4 linked regions of the Coturnix japonica genome follow. The protein of the gene in region 1 interacts with the protein of each later gene in a biochemical or structural test. Links are inferred from orthologs where the notes say so. Each region holds a gene or a part of one and is shown on either strand. Other genes may lie near its edges. The genes, in order: NBR1, MAP1LC3C, GABARAPL2 and MAP1LC3A.

The links.
Region 2: the proteins of NBR1 (region 1) and MAP1LC3C form a complex in vitro, tested with the Homo sapiens proteins (2 studies listed by IntAct). The link is inferred for Coturnix japonica from reciprocal best matches to the Homo sapiens genes NBR1 and MAP1LC3C.
Region 3: the proteins of NBR1 (region 1) and GABARAPL2 form a complex in vitro, tested with the Homo sapiens proteins (2 studies listed by IntAct). The link is inferred for Coturnix japonica from reciprocal best matches to the Homo sapiens genes NBR1 and GABARAPL2.
Region 4: the proteins of NBR1 (region 1) and MAP1LC3A form a complex in vitro, tested with the Homo sapiens proteins (2 studies listed by BioGRID and IntAct). The link is inferred for Coturnix japonica from reciprocal best matches to the Homo sapiens genes NBR1 and MAP1LC3A.

What each region holds. Positions count from the first base shown.
Region 1 is NC_029542.1:4,766,321-4,769,882, reverse strand, and holds part of NBR1 (next to BRCA1 gene 1 protein), read right to left. Parts: intron 3,134-3,562; coding exon 3,055-3,133; intron 2,663-3,054; coding exon 2,557-2,662; intron 2,165-2,556; coding exon 1,991-2,164; 3' UTR 1-1,990. UniProt on the Homo sapiens protein: Ubiquitin-binding autophagy adapter that participates in different processes including host defense or intracellular homeostasis.
Region 2 is NC_029518.1:32,120,601-32,124,181, reverse strand, and holds MAP1LC3C (microtubule-associated proteins 1A/1B light chain 3C), read right to left. Parts: upstream 2,319-3,581; 5' UTR 2,263-2,318; coding exon 2,205-2,262; intron 2,126-2,204; coding exon 2,070-2,125; intron 1,962-2,069; coding exon 1,855-1,961; intron 1,091-1,854; coding exon 883-1,090; 3' UTR 546-882; downstream 1-545.
Region 3 is NC_029526.1:17,778,738-17,783,032, forward strand, and holds the start of GABARAPL2 (gamma-aminobutyric acid receptor-associated protein-like 2), read right to left. Parts: upstream 2,859-4,295; 5' UTR 2,697-2,858; coding exon 2,663-2,696; intron 2,228-2,662; coding exon 2,172-2,227; intron 1,554-2,171; coding exon 1,381-1,553; intron 1-1,380. Other genes in the region: uncharacterized protein LOC107319444, read left to right, coding at 3,151-3,292, 3,371-3,540. UniProt on the Homo sapiens protein: Ubiquitin-like modifier involved in intra-Golgi traffic. Modulates intra-Golgi transport through coupling between NSF activity and SNAREs activation. It first stimulates the ATPase activity of NSF which in turn stimulates the association with GOSR1.
Region 4 is NC_029535.1:1,283,203-1,287,542, reverse strand, and holds the start of MAP1LC3A (microtubule-associated proteins 1A/1B light chain 3A), read left to right. Parts: upstream 1-1,493; 5' UTR 1,494-1,581; coding exon 1,582-1,621; intron 1,622-4,340. UniProt on the Homo sapiens protein: Ubiquitin-like modifier involved in formation of autophagosomal vacuoles (autophagosomes). While LC3s are involved in elongation of the phagophore membrane, the GABARAP/GATE-16 subfamily is essential for a later stage in autophagosome maturation.

The sequences.
Region 1 (3,562 bases):
AGTATTTCACACTTCACACTTCAATCTGCAACGAAGTGCTTTTCCTCAAACATTCTAGTTTTGTTAATTTACAGAACATATTAAAATCTTAAGTATGAAGGTATACACAGAAAGAGCAAGTGTGCTGCTGGGCATTACAGATCAAAACAAACAACCAGATTAATAACTTCACCAGCTATTGCACTTATCCATGTCCCCTCCTCCTCATCATATTGTATAGTAAGCATAAGCTGAAAGATATTCAGATCAGTATGTGTAAGTTATAGTGGGGGGAAAAAAACCATAATTTCAAGTTACAGAAAAGTCTTTATCTGGTCCACAGTAGGCAGCTGTACTGGGGTACAGACAGATGGGAAACACTGCAAAATAGTCCTACTGTATTTCAAAATAAGCATTTAAGAGTTTGCCTTCCACAATCTATAAAAATATGTTTAAAACAGAAGAAGTATGATACATATTTCTCTTCAATTATTTTAATGGTATTTTATCATGGAGAGTATTAGGTCTTTAAAAAACTAATACTGATCATCTGATCAATCAGAATACTCACAGCTGCTTCAGCTACGTTGTGTCAAAATAGAAACACCTTATTTTGAAGCAGCAATAGTATTTGTATTTCAGGATCAGTGGTCTCCCACTGCGGCAACTTAGAAAGCTTACTCGAAAGAAAGAATGTAGCCAACATTGCTGTCACTTTCAGAGGACTGACCTGTGAGCAGTTATCTACAGATACACCACTGCACAGCAGTGTATGTTACTGGTTGCTTGCGATTCTTCAGAATCAAATCACCTCTCAGGATGTTTGGGAGCTTAAACACTGAAATAAGTATGTGTACGTAAAGAAAAACTGTGAGAGAAAGTGAGTTCTACAGATGTGTTTACAGAAACACAGAAGCAGCCAGAAACGTTGCCAGAGACTATACATATAACACTGCTCAAGTTACTATATTTTTCAAAATGAAGTATGTTGTAAAACCCCTGCCTTGGGGGGGTAGGGGGGTATTTGGGTTTGTTTCCCAAATACTACCAGAATTCATACTCCAGTTCAAGTCTGGCTTTGTACGCATGAAAACTCTTAATGTAGTATTAAGATGTCTGGACAACACAAAAAACACAGGGGTTGAGTTTTTACACTCCCCCCCCATCCCCCCCAAAGAACCTTTTCAAAGGTTCTTAGGAAGGTTTTTCCTACAGTACAACTCCATTTTTAACAAAATATTTTATGTAGACTATATTTTTTGTTAGATATAAGTTTACTGTTATAATTACTACTAATGGTTACAGTTAATAGCAGCTGGTAAATTAACTCTTATGCTTTATTCTGCTTCAAGAAACAGTGATTTTCCTGGTATACATCCGTTCAAATCAACTTCAGGCTTTTCAGAAGTCATTTGATGGTTCAAGACTAATTTTAATATATGAGCAACATCGCCTTCTCCCCCAGCCCCCCAACACCCCCGAGAATTATTTGTAAGGTTTAATTCTGTTACATTACTATCAAGAACTGGACAAAAACCGATAACTGTATCATGTCAGAAGAAAGAGTTTCCAAGTAGCTGGTATCTCTTATAAATTAGACAAGACTATATTTTACAGAAGCATTTTAAACTTTGTAATAGGAAGCAATGTGTTAGAAGTCAACAAAACAAAAGCTCCCAGCTGCCTAGAAGTATTTTACATACAGTAAAAGGAGAAGTGTGCAGGCTAAAGTCACTCTATAACATTTCCAGGTAAAAAGGAATCAGCATAAAGTTACCAACCTCAATACATCTAATTTCAGCAAAAGTAAAGTTGAAATTCTGGTGTCCAATTTGTAAAATGTTGTGACAAGCATTGTTTGACATTTCCATGAGAGGAAAAAGACAAAAGCTTGAGGAAAGGACAAAGTTTTATCTATATCTCCAAAGTAGCTGAAGGTCAGTCTGCTAATGCTGTAGTGTTTAATGAGAATTTGCTCAACTAAGGAGATTCATCCCTCCACCAGGAAGGCTCAGCATCTATTGCTGTACCAGTCACCATTACTGATTTGAAGCAATTCAGTTACCACTTGAACCATATTATTGTTGTGTTTCTTCAGCAGTCGCAGGTTTAACTGCCTGTCACAGAATCCCATCTCACACAGACTGGATAGAAGAGCAGCAGTGTGCTCTTCTGTAGCTGCAGGCTGATAGAAACAAAACAAGAGAGACAAGAAGACTTATTTTTGCCATCTCAACAGCAGTCCTGCATTATACTGGAATGCAGTGATGACACTGAAGCCCTCTGTCCACAAGGAAGCAATATGCACTTATTTTCATTGGTCACTTGTACATTTGAATTACTTCTCTTGCATTATGCTCAGAGACTTGCTTCTATTTCCACAGCACAGACTTCTCTATCAGCTGTGGAAGTGCCATGCTTCCAAGAGATGCCACCAAGTTTAACATTTTACTGTTGCAGCAGTGTGTTGTGAAACATCAATACAGACAATGTATGTTTTATTAAGGTACCAACAGTTATAATGTTAACGTTGAACTTCTGTAAAACTCATACAGAACATGGGAAAAAGACACTTACCTGTTCTGTAATGGGCGGTCCAGCAAATAATGCTTTGTAGGCAGAGGCAGCAACTGACAGAGCTCCTTTAACTAGATCTCCTGCAATACTGCCTCCTTGTGGGTGTCTGCAGAAAGGTTAGGTATTACATTTGGGTCAGCAAAAGCCGTATTTCTTTCACCTAAAAGGCAAATCCTTCCCCACTAATGGCTCAACTGAGACTTAATTCTTACTGGAGAGAATAACTCATTATCCAAAAGAATCACTGCTACTCAGGAATCAAGCGTTCCATGCCTTCTGCTAATTTGTATGTACTTTAAGTGCTAACATACATTAGCTTACTGTACGTAAAATGAAAGTTTGAAAAGATTGAATAGCCTACGTACATAGAAGCTGTGACATATGCATCCAGACCAGAGTAACTTCTGTCTGGTTTCCACTGATTCTTAGTCACTTAGTCTTCAAAGAAAGGCCATGGAACAAACAGAATTTGCAAAGCTGCAGCTTCTGTTTCATTACCTTGCATATTCAGAGCCCTTCCGGATACTAGTTAGAAATACAGAAGATTCTGGTTCACGCCTCTCTTCACCACTAGGTTCTGGAAGAAGAAGGAAATACCCCATATGAACACATAAAGTTAACTAAAAGCTGAAGAGATTCAACACACACATAAATGTAAAGTGAGATTCAGTCTAAATTACTACTTTCAAGCTTGGTGACCCAGATGCAAACTAGGCATGCAAGATTCTCACTACAGTTAATATAAATCAAAATAATTCTAGGAGTCATTTAGCTGAAAAGTCAGTGGGTATCTGCCTCACCACAATATGAACTGCTGTCTGAGCTCCAAATAGCTGTAACAATGGCTTGAGCATACAGCACTAATCCCAGAGCAAGATAAACTTCTACATGTATAAAGGCACTCCTGAGTGCTCTTCTAACATTTCTAATCAATAAACACTACTCTCACCTGATTCACAAAGCTGATTACTGTTATATTCAAGACTTCTGTATGATAAAATTTTAA
Region 2 (3,581 bases), on another chromosome or scaffold:
CATTTACAACTTTCTGACACATTCCTGATATATTAGAAAGCTGCACTTCAGCTTGAACCTCCTGTCAAGAGTTTCTTCCAATTCATTTTCAGGAAGCTTGTACAATAAATGTATCAGCATGTCACTACATGATAGTTTTGACATTTTCCAGATACGCTGACATACCTCTGTAAGGTACAGCACAAACACCCACACTTGAGGCAAGGCTCACTGAAGTCCCTCAGCAGAAGAGCTGTGCAGGTGCCTGTAGGTGAAAGGGATGACCAGCTTGCCTACAGACCAGACTAGCAGAATTCAATAGAAAGAGCAGAACACTGACCCCTATTCTAGCACTGATGCAACCCTGCTACTCAGGTACTTCAATGAATGAACTGTTTGTAGGTATGAGCCTACTGCTGCATGAGCAGGCTTGAGTTTTGTTATCTCATTGTGAAATTGAATGAGTGGCTGTGCAAGCAACACTCCACTCCAGAAGCCTGGAGCCAGAATCATTCTAGGACCTTTTCCCAGGAAGTCTCTCCCCAAATTAAAACTGACATTCAACCTAGTACTTAAAAGCTTCTTTATTTTATTCTTAAGCAACACCTTAAAAAGCAGTTACATCACAAGATCGGTATTGCAAAAAGTGGAGGTGCAGTTCCAAAACAACAACAACAAAAAAGAAACCCCACAGTGCCTTCCAAGTATAAAAATATACATCTAAATTATCATCCATGGAAAAGTGTACCACCATCTCTGCCTTGAGCCGGTCCTGCCAGCTTTTGGATCATAACTCCGCAGTACAGAGCTCAAGAGCTCATACTGGAGGGAGCATCTCCGAGTCTCATGTCACATGCATGATTCACAGCACAGTGGCTTAGCTGCAGCATATAGACCCCAGCATTAGGTTTTATGGTGGCATTCCATAGTTTTCCCTAAGGTGAGTGAGCAGCATCCGAACATCTCCTGGGAAGCATATGTCATGTACACGAAGCCATCTTCATCCTTGTAGTCCCTGTACACCTCTGCCATGGTCAAAGACATACTCGCTAAGCTCTTGTTGTTCACCAGCAGGTAGAAAGCTTGTGTAGCAGTCAGAGCCATCCTGCTTCTGAATGAAGAGGGAAAAGGAAACAAAGGACCAAGCATTAGCAAATTTAAGGTTTCAACCTTAGTCTATAAAATACATTAAGCAGAATAGTTGCAGCATTTCTTGTACATAGTTTATGCACGAAGACGTTGCTTAGTTTAATATTTCCATCAGAAAGTTAACTGTACTCAGAAACAGGAAGCTTGCTCCAGGGAAAGGCTTAAGCTGCAGGACTGTAGCTGCTACCAAGCCTGAGCCTGGGGCTGCCCATTCCCAAGAAGTGCTGAGTGTAGCTACAATAGGGAATTTCAGCACAGCCTGTTAAACTTAAGGCCTGCCCACCTTCAGAGGAGTCTCACTCAGAGACTTTACACATGAAGACTGGCTGACAAAAGTATCTTCTACATAAGTTAATAACTGGAAACATGGCTTCCACGCACTTTTTGTCACTGACAAAAAATTGCCTTACAATTCCCCAGCACCCCTGCACAGAACGCCCCCCTTTAGGAGACCTCTTTGCCAGTGTATTTGTAAAGAACACCCGGGATGGAGCTGCCACAGGTTTGGGCAACCTGTAAGTGCAACAGGAGCAGCAGGGCAGCAGCAGTTGGATGCAGAGCACAGCCCAGAACCAGGCAGAACGGGAGCAGAGCAGCAGCCTCGCGCCGCCTTTATCCGCCAGTGAGGGGGAAGAGGGACCTCGGGAGCCCCGAGCTCTTCCCTATCAGCTCCCGCTGGGGGAGGCCGCCCCAGGCCCCTCTCACGCGGTAGTGCGCGGCCCTTACCTGATGATGGTGATGAACTGCGTCATGGTCAGCTCCTCGGGGACGAGAAACTTAGTTTTGTCCAACAGGGGAAGGTATTTCTCCTTCTGGTACCTCTCAACGATTACCTGTTTTTAATTAGAGTCACTTAGAAGCCCCAGCGACGTTCCGTTCCCCTCCTTCCAAAATACTCAAGGCAGAAGCCGGGAGCCCCCGCCCGCGGAGCAGCGAATTACCGGGATCTTTGTGGGGAACTTGGCCCTGATGCCGGCCACCTCCTCCCGCCGGGTGGCTGCGCGGGAGAGAGCACAAGCGTTACGTTGTAACGTAGAGAGAGAGAGCACCGTACCGTCCCATCCCCATAACCATACCCAGACTCTTGCGCAGCTTGAAGGGCCGCACCGGCTGCACCCCGGGACCCGCCTGCATCCCGCCGCCTGAGGCCGCCGCCCCGCGCCGCGCCTCTTATGGGCCGGTCCGGCACCGCCCCGAGGGGCGGCGTGTGGCGGGCGGGCTGCTTCGCATTTGGGAGTTGCCTTGGAAGTATCCATCCCAGCATCCATCCCAGCATCCATCCCAGCGCTGCCCAGCCTTGCTTTTGCTTCACGCACACTTCCATGCCAGACGCCGTTCTGTCAAACTGCCCCTCTGCTGCCATCTGTCACACAGCTACAACGTGTAACGAATATTAGGATTCAACCTCTGCTGCCATACCTCCAATGTCTGCCTCTGACATCGTGGGACAGCATCACATAGTATGAAGCATTACTTTCAGGGCAGCCCTCATAAAATACATAACATGGTTCATACATGAAAGTAATACAACTGTTTTTAGTATTTTATATTGAAACAAAACAAAAGAGAGCAACAGCACCATAATTCTGATGAGATATGTGACCTTGTTTGTGAGAAAGTGGCTTATCAGTGTCTGGTTTGCTGGCAGTGGCTGCAGTTCTTATGAGCTCCGAAGGCATTTGTCACATTGTTGACAAAATGTACTCCTCCTGTGCTTTATCCTTGACAAAAGTTGTTCACAAGTGTACGTACTGCCTGACGGCCATCTCAGGAATAAGGTGTGACTGTGAAGCAAGGGATGTTTCTCCCTGGTAAGGGGGTTTATAAAAGTCTGGTGAAGAGCAAGTCCAGCCTGGGAGTGAGATTATATAGTGTCCTGGTCCCGTGACTTATCCCTGACCATGATGTCCTCTGGGATATGTAGTCTTCTTCTGTGAGCTGAACATTCAGTAAAATTATCCATACTTTACATGATGTTATGATGTGGAATACTGATAGCAAAATTACAAAACCATGACACCATCACAGCACAGCTCACCAAATGGCACAACGAACTGAAGTATGTAGAGAGGACAGGGTGTGTTGCTCTGAGGAGCTGCTGAGCCTCAGACTTGGGAGGGGAGCTGTGGCCAGTTTTGGTGCTGTCAACACGGCCCCTAAGGGACCCATCCCCAAGGTAAGCCTCCCCAGCTGTGCAGGAGAGCTCCAGGGCTCCTATCAGAGATGCATGTGGAACACCTGGACTTGGTTCCACACAACCACCAGCACCTTGTTTCCAGAGGGATGTTAGCCTTCACAGGCAGCTGTTTGACAGAAAACTGAGCACCTGACAAGAGAGGGAGGGAGCTGAAGAACGGAACTTCAAGTGAAATTCTTGGCTGTGGCTCTAATTCCTACTGCAGCTAAAAGTGAGCACAGTTAGCAGATGCCCTGCGTTACATCATCTGGAGGCA
Region 3 (4,295 bases), on another chromosome or scaffold:
ATAAGGTAGGCTTGTGGCCCTTTCCAATCTAAGTATTTTAATAAGATAGGCTTGTGGCCCTTTACAATCTAAGTAGTCTTTTGTGGGATGACTGTATTTTGAAAACAGAACGAAAGCCAAGCAATTACTTGGCCAGCCTAACTCCTTTAGCTGTCTGTGAATGACAGATGAAACAGTGACTGATGTGAGTCAACTGCCTAAAGATGCTTCAGATCATCTTTTCTAACTGCCCAAGAGTGCCTGAGAAAAGGCCAGAGAACTGAAAGGCACAGACTGAATGTGGGTGATAGGAAAACCATCATGGCTTTTTCCCTGTGAGAAAACGGGTAGTGTGTTAAGTTAAAGGAGTTGGGGAGAGTTGCAGGCAGCACTTGAAATTGATGGCAATTAACAAATAGTAGATAACCTTCTGAATGAGAAGGAAGTGAAGAATTTGTGGTCTAAAGGGGTAGAACTGTTGGCCAGCTACATTTTTACCTAATAACAAAAGTTACTATTTTTGCATCAGCTTGAAGGTTCAGAGCCTTGGACTTCCAGCAGAGATGTGAGATACCATAGTTGTGTGAGATGATACAACGTGCCCTTATTTCTTTGCCTTTCCTGTTTGTTCCTAGCAGTTCTACAGTACTGAGAAAGTGGGACTAAGGCATTTCTACTACTCCTAGAAGAAATAAAGTAGGAAAAGGTGGTCCTTGCCACTCCCGTGATTCCCATAAGTGTCATGAATGAAATACAAATCTTTCTTGCTGGGTCTGGACAGGTTATTTGGAGGTGCTGTTACACAGGCAAGTGTTGACAAGAATAACACTGCCTCCAAACCAAGTAACACTACATTCTGTTTTCTCAGAGATTATTCAAATAGATCGTATAGGGAGCTGCTGCAGTAGCTGCTAGTGCTGCATTTTGTAATGTACGTAGCAGACAACCACTGATGCTGACTCCGTTCTACAGAGAAGTTTTTTCACATTACTTCTAGTTGTTTTGCATTTAGTATTTACAGGAAAAAGTTATTTTAAAAAAACCCACAACAACAACAACAAAAACCATTAATGTGAGCTGACAGAATTAGGTTCATGTTTTTTTAAATAATTTATAGTGCTTGCTTTTGTATGTTTAACATGCAACTTTTTTTTGCCACATGGAGAAGTTATCTGATATTTCTGATGTCATAACTCTAGTTTACCTTCTTGCAATGTAAATAATCGAAAATGTGTTACCAATATGTATGACCAAAAAAGTCCAAATCGCAGGGAGATGAAAATGCAACCAAACGCCTTCTATAAGTGCTGCCTAATCCTCAGAAGGGTTTTTTTTTTTTGTTCCTCTGATATGTACAGCCACGCTAAAATGGTTCTGAATACCAGTTGAACAGCCACTTACCTGGACTGTGGGACAGTCTTGTCTACAAAGAGGAATATTGCTTTCTCAGAGGGCAACTGAATCCTCTTCCTGATGATCCACATAAACTGGGCCACGGTGATGTCAGATGGAACTAAGTATTTCCTCTTATCAATATCAACAATCTGAGATCCTGATACCTTCTCCACTATAACCTGTAAAGCACATGTGAAAGTGAGGCTTTTCAGGACTGGTAGAAACAGACAGCTTTTGATAGTGAGAGATAGGACTCAGTACTGTACAACCTGATTTTACAACTGCACTGAAACCTACATTCATATATACAATGGCACAAATTTTCCTGTGCCTGTGCACCTCTCTTAGCCCTCATTTAAGGGCTGGCTGACACTCTGGAAAGCTCTTCCCTGTGAACCCAGGTGAACCTAATCACCTCCCTCATCGAGCTAGGAAGGACTGTCAAGGTGTAAAGAACTTATTCTTTAAGTTTCCTGGAATCATGCACAGAATGTACCTTCAGGATACTGAACGTACAAAGCCTTTGCTCTTAAAAGAAAGTGGGACATAGAGAAAACATAGATGTGGTAAGTGTTCAGAAAGTCAGGCACATTCACTTATTTGACAGTGCGCATTAGGGCAGAGGAAGGAATGCTGGGCTAGTTACGTGTCTTTGGGCCTTCTTTAAAACATCAAACGATGCAAAAGGGAAAATGAATGTACTTGGTGGGTTCTGGTCAAAGCACAGCGGGCAGGATGCAGGCAGCTCATCCACCGCTGCCTCTTCAGTTCTGGATGAAGCCGGCCTGGTTACTCACCGGGACACGGTCAGGGTACTTGGCGCGGATCTTTGCTGACTCCACACATCTGTGCTCTGTGAACAAAACTTGCGGTTAGTCACGGTACAGTAACGGTACAGAACGGTAACGGTAACGGTACGGTAACAGTATGGTATGGTAACAGTACGGTACGGTAACAGTACGGTACGGTACGGAACGGTAACGGAACGGAACGGTATGGTAACGGTACGGTAACAGTAACGGTACGGTCAGGGCCCTGCGCAGAGCGAGCAGCCCCGCACGCACCGCAGCCGCCCCGCACCCCGTGACGCGGCCCCGGCCCGGTGTTCGCATTCTCATTCTCGTTCTCATTCTCGTTCTCATTCTCTCATTCCCCGCTGCCGCGCCGCCCTGCGTCCAGACCCGCGGGGCCGCCCGCCCAGCAGCACGACGGGGAGCCCGGGGCGGACGGCGACACGGGACACGGGACACGGGAGGCCGCCGTCGGGCAGCGCCGGGCCCGCCCTTACCCAGCGCGTGGTCTTCTTTGAACATCCACTTCATGGCGCGGGCTGGGCGGGAAGCGGAGCCGGCGGCGGGGCCCGGGTAGGCCGAGAACGGAACCGGGCCGAGGCGGCCGACACGGACCCTGTCACAACAAAATCAGCCCCGGCTCGGCAGGCGGGACTTCCGGTTCGGTGCTTCCTTAGCAACCACCGGAACGCGGCGCTTCCGGGTCGCGGTGAGCGGGGTCACGTGGGGGAAACGAGGCTGCGGAGCCCGCCGTTCGGTCCCGTTGCCGCCGGTCCCTTTGCTGCCGGTCCCGTTACCGGCGGTCTCGTTGCCGTAGCGCCCGCCGTGGTTCCCTTGGTGCTGCGCTCCCCGGGCGCTCCCCGCTTCACTGCAGCCGCGTGTCCCGGATCGCGCTCCCCGCTGCTCGGCGGCCGCCGCTCCCGTTGCGGCGCTCGGTGCAGCCCGGCTCCGGTCCGTCGTTGCGCTCCGCAGCCGCGTGCTGGGGATGGCGGCGCTGGAGCTGTTCTCGCACCCCGCGCTGCACACGCGGTACCGGGCCGGGCTGTGCTCCGCCGCCGCGCTGGCGCTGCTGCTGCTGGCCGCGCTCACCTACGTGCCGCCGCTGCTGGTGGCTTACCGGAGCCACGGTGAGCGGCGGGCAGCCCCCAGCCCCGCGGGGCCGCGCCCGGCGTCGCGCCGTGACGTCGCGCCGTGTTTGCCCGCAGGTTTCTGGCTGAAGCAGAGCTCGTACCGAGAGCAGCCCGCGGTCCGCTTCCAGTACCAGCTGCTGTTCGTGGCCACCACCGGGCCGGGCCCGGGCAGCTTCCTGGCGTGGAGCACGTTCCCGGCGTTCAACCGGCTCCAGGAGGACCGGCTGCGCGTCCCGCTGCTGTTGGTAGGCGGCTGCGGGCAGCGGGTCGGGGAGCTCCCTTGGCTTCGGCTGTCGGTGCACTGACTTACAGGAACACGCTGCTCGTTCTCACGAAGCTTTTTGCTGACTTTTCTTTCCCGTGGGTTTTTGTGGTTTTGTTTTTGTTTTTTTTTTTCCCCGTAATTTTTCTTCCTTCCCCGTCCCGGTCCCGCTCTGTGAGGCTTGTTACACTGCAGCTTGCAGGGCTTTGTGGGCAGCCCCCTGCTTTGCAATGCAGGTACGTGCTTTCAAAGCATGCCGTCTCTCCCCTGCAGCTATTGTTCTTTGCGGGATCCAGCAGCGGTAGTTATTTCCTCTGAGCGCTCTGTGGTGCCTCGTGGTGGTTGTGAATTGCTGCGGTGCTGGCCTTGAGCGGTACGGAAGCGCTGGGAGCCGCGGCTTCCCACCAGGAGCTGGACATGGTGCAAAGAAGCGCTCAGGGCCGAGCTCAGCATTGCCAGGGATGTAGCAGAAGGTCCAGCGTTAAGATACAGACTGTAGGATGCAGGGAACATGTTTGGAATGGCACGGGACAAAAGTGCTCTTGGAGAGTCTTTTTCCCTTCCTGTGGAGTACGTGGATTGTTGTAACATACAGAACTAAGGCTTCTCTCTCTAACCTCATGTTTTTAAAGCCAAGCAGCTTTTTATTCTATTTCTAACTGTGCTGTTTCTTTGCTTTCTTTGTATGTGCGTGTTGCAGTTAGGGAAATCTGCACTTTTAACTTTCTTTCCTCTTAA
Region 4 (4,340 bases), on another chromosome or scaffold:
CTGAAGGCAAAGGAAACACCTGCTGCGAAGTCAGAGCAAACAAACCCTGATGCATTAAGAGGCTGATGAGGGGGGTTTGAAGTATGGCTCAGGGCTGCAAGCAGCAGCACTTGTAGCCCAAGATCTCTTTGTCCAGCTGAGATAAGGCCGTGGCAGAGGAATGGAGGTGACAGCACTTAAGAGATCGCAAAAGATAGACTTGTGGAAACATCTGTTCATCTTCAGACACGTCTTTCAGCTGCTATGGGCAGCAGCTATTTGTCTGCCTGAGATGGCTGAGCAGCACTCCTTTCACACACAGGAGCTTTATTTACCTTGTCTTAAAGCTTTTGCTGTGCATTGCTATGTCTGTAGGGAATGAAAGCAAGGCCTACAGCAGGCCAAGCTGGCTGTGTGTTAGCAGAGTGCCCCGACCTGCACAGGCTGCATGCAGAGCTGTGGTGTGCGGGGGCTGCAGGGCACTGAGCTCTGACAGCACCAACACTGCAGGAGTCTGAGCGTCATCAGGTCTGTGTTGACAGTAATACACTACTTCAGCAGCACAACAGCATTCCTCGGGGAGGCTCCAAGCTGTCACAAACATGCAGGGTGCTCATTACCAGCAGTGCTCACCCTGCTGGAATGCTGGCATTGTAAAGCTGGCTGTTGATCGTGGGTTGCTATAGGGCTGCTTGCTGCTGCTGGGTTGGTCTGTCTACCTGTTCCTCGTCAAAAGTGGGTTAGTGCTTAACAACAGTAACAAATTCAGTGAGCCTGCAGTCTGCAATGTCAGTCCATCTGCCTTATCTCAGTCAGTACCGCAACTTCTTTCCCTTCTGCATTTTTGGATGGCCAGGACCCTTTTGATCATCAGAGCACTTTTAAAAGATGCAGTGGGAGCCTTTCTGTCCCTTTGAAGCAGGGATGTACTCAATGTCTGCCCACCATGGGGGGTTGTTTTGGAGCACAGCGCTCATTGCAGCGTGCCTTCACGGGGACATGCAGTGTGGCTCTCTGCAAAACACCGTCACCGTTTGCAGCTGGGTTTGATTCGTTCACGGCTCTAGAAATAGCCCGCTCTATTTGTAGCCGTGATTTGCTCTGCAAGGTATGCGGGCTGTGTGTGCAGCGGGGGGAGACGGGCTGCTCCGGGGCGTGCGGGGCAGTAAGAGGAGGGGACGGGGACTGAGTACATGGGCAGAGCGGGGGACGGGGGCGGCTTTAACTAGAACAGGGAAGATTCAGGTCGGATGAGCGGAGGGAATCCTACACCCGCAGGCGGTGCGGCCCCGGCCCTGGGCAGCCCGGGCTGGGGGAGCGGCTCAGGTGCGCACGGAGCAGCGCTCAGCGATGTGCTGCGGGAGGGGAAAGCGGCTCTTGGGGTGTGAGCGGGGCCCGAAAGGCCGCGATTGAAAACGGGATCGATGACTCGGCGCTCATCGCACCGGGCGGCACCGCCCCACGGACACGTCACGTGACACGTCACGGCCCTCCGCCCGCCCCGGTGACGTCACCGCCCGCTCCGCCGCAGCCGCCACACGGAGCCGCCGCCGGCACCTGCGACCCGGCCCGGCCGCCGCCGCCGCCGCCAACACCACCGCCATGCCCTCGGAACGGCCCTTCAAGCAGCGCCGCACCTTCGGTGAGCGGACGGCGGGGCGATGTGCGCGGGAGCTGCGTGCGCAGCGATCGGGGGGCGAGGATGGGGCCGCGCGGTGCCGCGGGGCGGGCGGTGCCCTCCGGCCGGGCTATACCGGGCTGTGCGGGGCTGTACGGGGCTGTGCGGGGCTGTACGGGGCTGTACGGAGCTGTACGGGGCTGTGCGGAGCTGTACGGAGCTGTACGGAGCTGTGCGGGGCTGTACGGAGCTGTACCGGGCTGTGCCGGGCTGTACGGGGCTGTACCGGGCTGTACCGGGCTGTACGGGGCTGTACCGGGCTGTACCGGGCTGTACGGGGCTGTACCGGGTTGTACCGGCGGCCCTCGGGCTCCTTGTCCTCCTCCCGCAGCCCGAACGCACCCGCGTAGCGCGGCGGTCCCCCCCCACCCCCCGTTTCTTATTGTGGCACCGCCCGGAGCCGCGACCCCTTCGCCCCGCTGTGGCGGCGGGCTGAGCCCCTTCGGCTGCGGGTGGGCGGCCGAACCTTCGCGCACCGCCCGGTGCCCCCGCCCGGCTGGGGGTCGCTGTGCCGAGGACCCCGCGCTCCGCACCCTGTGCTGCCGGGCCCGGCGGGTTCCGCGCTCGCGTGGAAACATCGTTGTGCTGAATGTGGGCGGTGGGCGATGTGACCGTACGGGGCGATGTGACCGTACGGGGCGATGTGACCGTACGGGTCGGTGTTACCGTACGGGGCAATGTTACCGTACGGGGCAGTGTTACCGTACGGGCAGTGTTACCGTACGGGGCAGTGTTACCGTACGGGTCAGTGTTACCGTACGGGTCAGTGTTACCGTACGGGGCAGTGTTACCGTACGGGGCAGTGTTACCGTACGGGGCAGTGTTACCGTACGGGGCAGTGTTACCGTACGGGCAGTGTTACCGTACGGGGCAGTGTTACCGCACGGGGCGATGTTACCGTACGGGTCAGTGTTACCGCACGGGGCGCCGCGTCGTGCCTTGCCCGGCAGAGCGGCAGCTGCTGCTCCCCCTGACCTTTGCCGGCCGAACCCCGCGGCCACACGGCGCTTGGCTGGAGTTTTCTATTAAAAGCAGCAGAATCCCGAGTGCCGCCCGTATCTCTGCCCGCTGCTCCGCCGTGGCAGCCGGCATCGCGGGCGGGAGGAGCCGGCTTTGCCTTTGCACGTTGCTCAGGCTGGAGGAAAACAAAAGTCGAGGCTCGGAGTGACCGAAGGAGAGCGGGACTGAAATAGCGCAGGAGGGAAAGGGGGGGAGACGGAGTCGGGTGCTGTGTGACCGCGGGTGTCTGCGCCGTCCTGTGCCCTTTGGCTCCCGGCTGATGTGCAGAGCTCAGCGGGACGAGGAGGAAGAGGAGGCGGCCCGGCGCCCGCTCGGCTGCTTTGGGTCGGGGCTGGGATCGCTCCGCTGGAGAAAGTAAACAGCGCTTGTTTTCGTCTTCAGCTCGTTGCACAACGGGAGCAGGAAGCGATTGTTGACAGTGCCGCTGGAGACGGACGATGGAAAATATTTCCAGTGACACTGCACCCTCAGAACGGCGCTGTTTGTAAGGCCGCAGAGCTGGAGAGAAGTGGAACGGCTCCAAAAGAACAGAACAGGCAGAGTCAGAGTGTGGCTGTTTACAAGAGCCGCCCAAGGCTCCGGTGTCACGGCACGTGGCTCGGTGAGGCCTTGGCCCGCTGCCCCGTGCTGACGCTCTGCTGTGCTTTGTGCCCATTTTCCCCCTTCTTGTAGTGTTGAGGTTTGTTTTTCTATGGGGTTTCTTCTGTTTGCCCATCTGCTTTGTCTCAGGTCTGTTCTGAATACATTTTATGGAGCTCAGTGTGATGCTGTTGAGGACTTAAGTCCAACGCTGGGGCATGCGGCGTCCCCCTGGTGTCTGATGCACATCAGAGGGGGCTCTGCTGGGGTTGTGCTCCCCGCTGTGGCTGTGGCTGTATCTTTGGGCTGGGGGTGAGATCTGATGGAGCCCCTCAGCTGCCACGTGCAAACCTGCCTGTGAATGCTGAGGGAGCTGCGTTCTGCTTAGTCAGATCCATGGTAGGAGTCCAGACCAATTCCCAGAGTGAAGCTGTGCTCTGTGTCAGAGGAGCAGGCTGTCCTGGCTGCAGCCATGTGTGCAACCTGCTGACCCTGCGCTGCTTCCTGTGAAAGGTGCATCTTTGGGCTGGATGCTCCCATCCCAGGTGCAGTTTTCTGTGCCTTCAGTTCTGGCAGTGCACTTCTCATGTGGAAAAGGCAGCAGTCGGTAAGAGCAGCACATAGAACTGAAGAGTGGCCTTCACCAGGTGGCAGCAGGGTGAGGAAGGGGATTGTCCCCCTGTGATCAGCTCCTGTGAGACCCCACCTTGGTTTTGCATCCAGCCCTGGGGCTGCTGGCACAGGAAGGACGTGGAGCTGCTGCAGGAGGTCCAGAGGAGGACACAAAGGTGCTCAGAGGGCTGGAGCATCTCTGCTATGGAGTCTGGCTGAGGGAGCTGGGAGTGTTCTGCCTGAAGGAGGGAAAGCTGCGGGGAGACCTCATTGCAGCCTTGCAATGTTTAAAGGGAGATTATAAACAGGAGGAAAATCAACTTTTTACACATGTAGATGGTGATAGAACGAGGGGAAACAGCTTTAAACTAGAGGGAAGATTCAGATTAGATGTCAAGGGGAAGATTTTCACTGAGAGGGCAGTGCAGCCCTGGCACTGCTGCTCAGAGCTGGGGGTTTTCTGTTCCTGGAG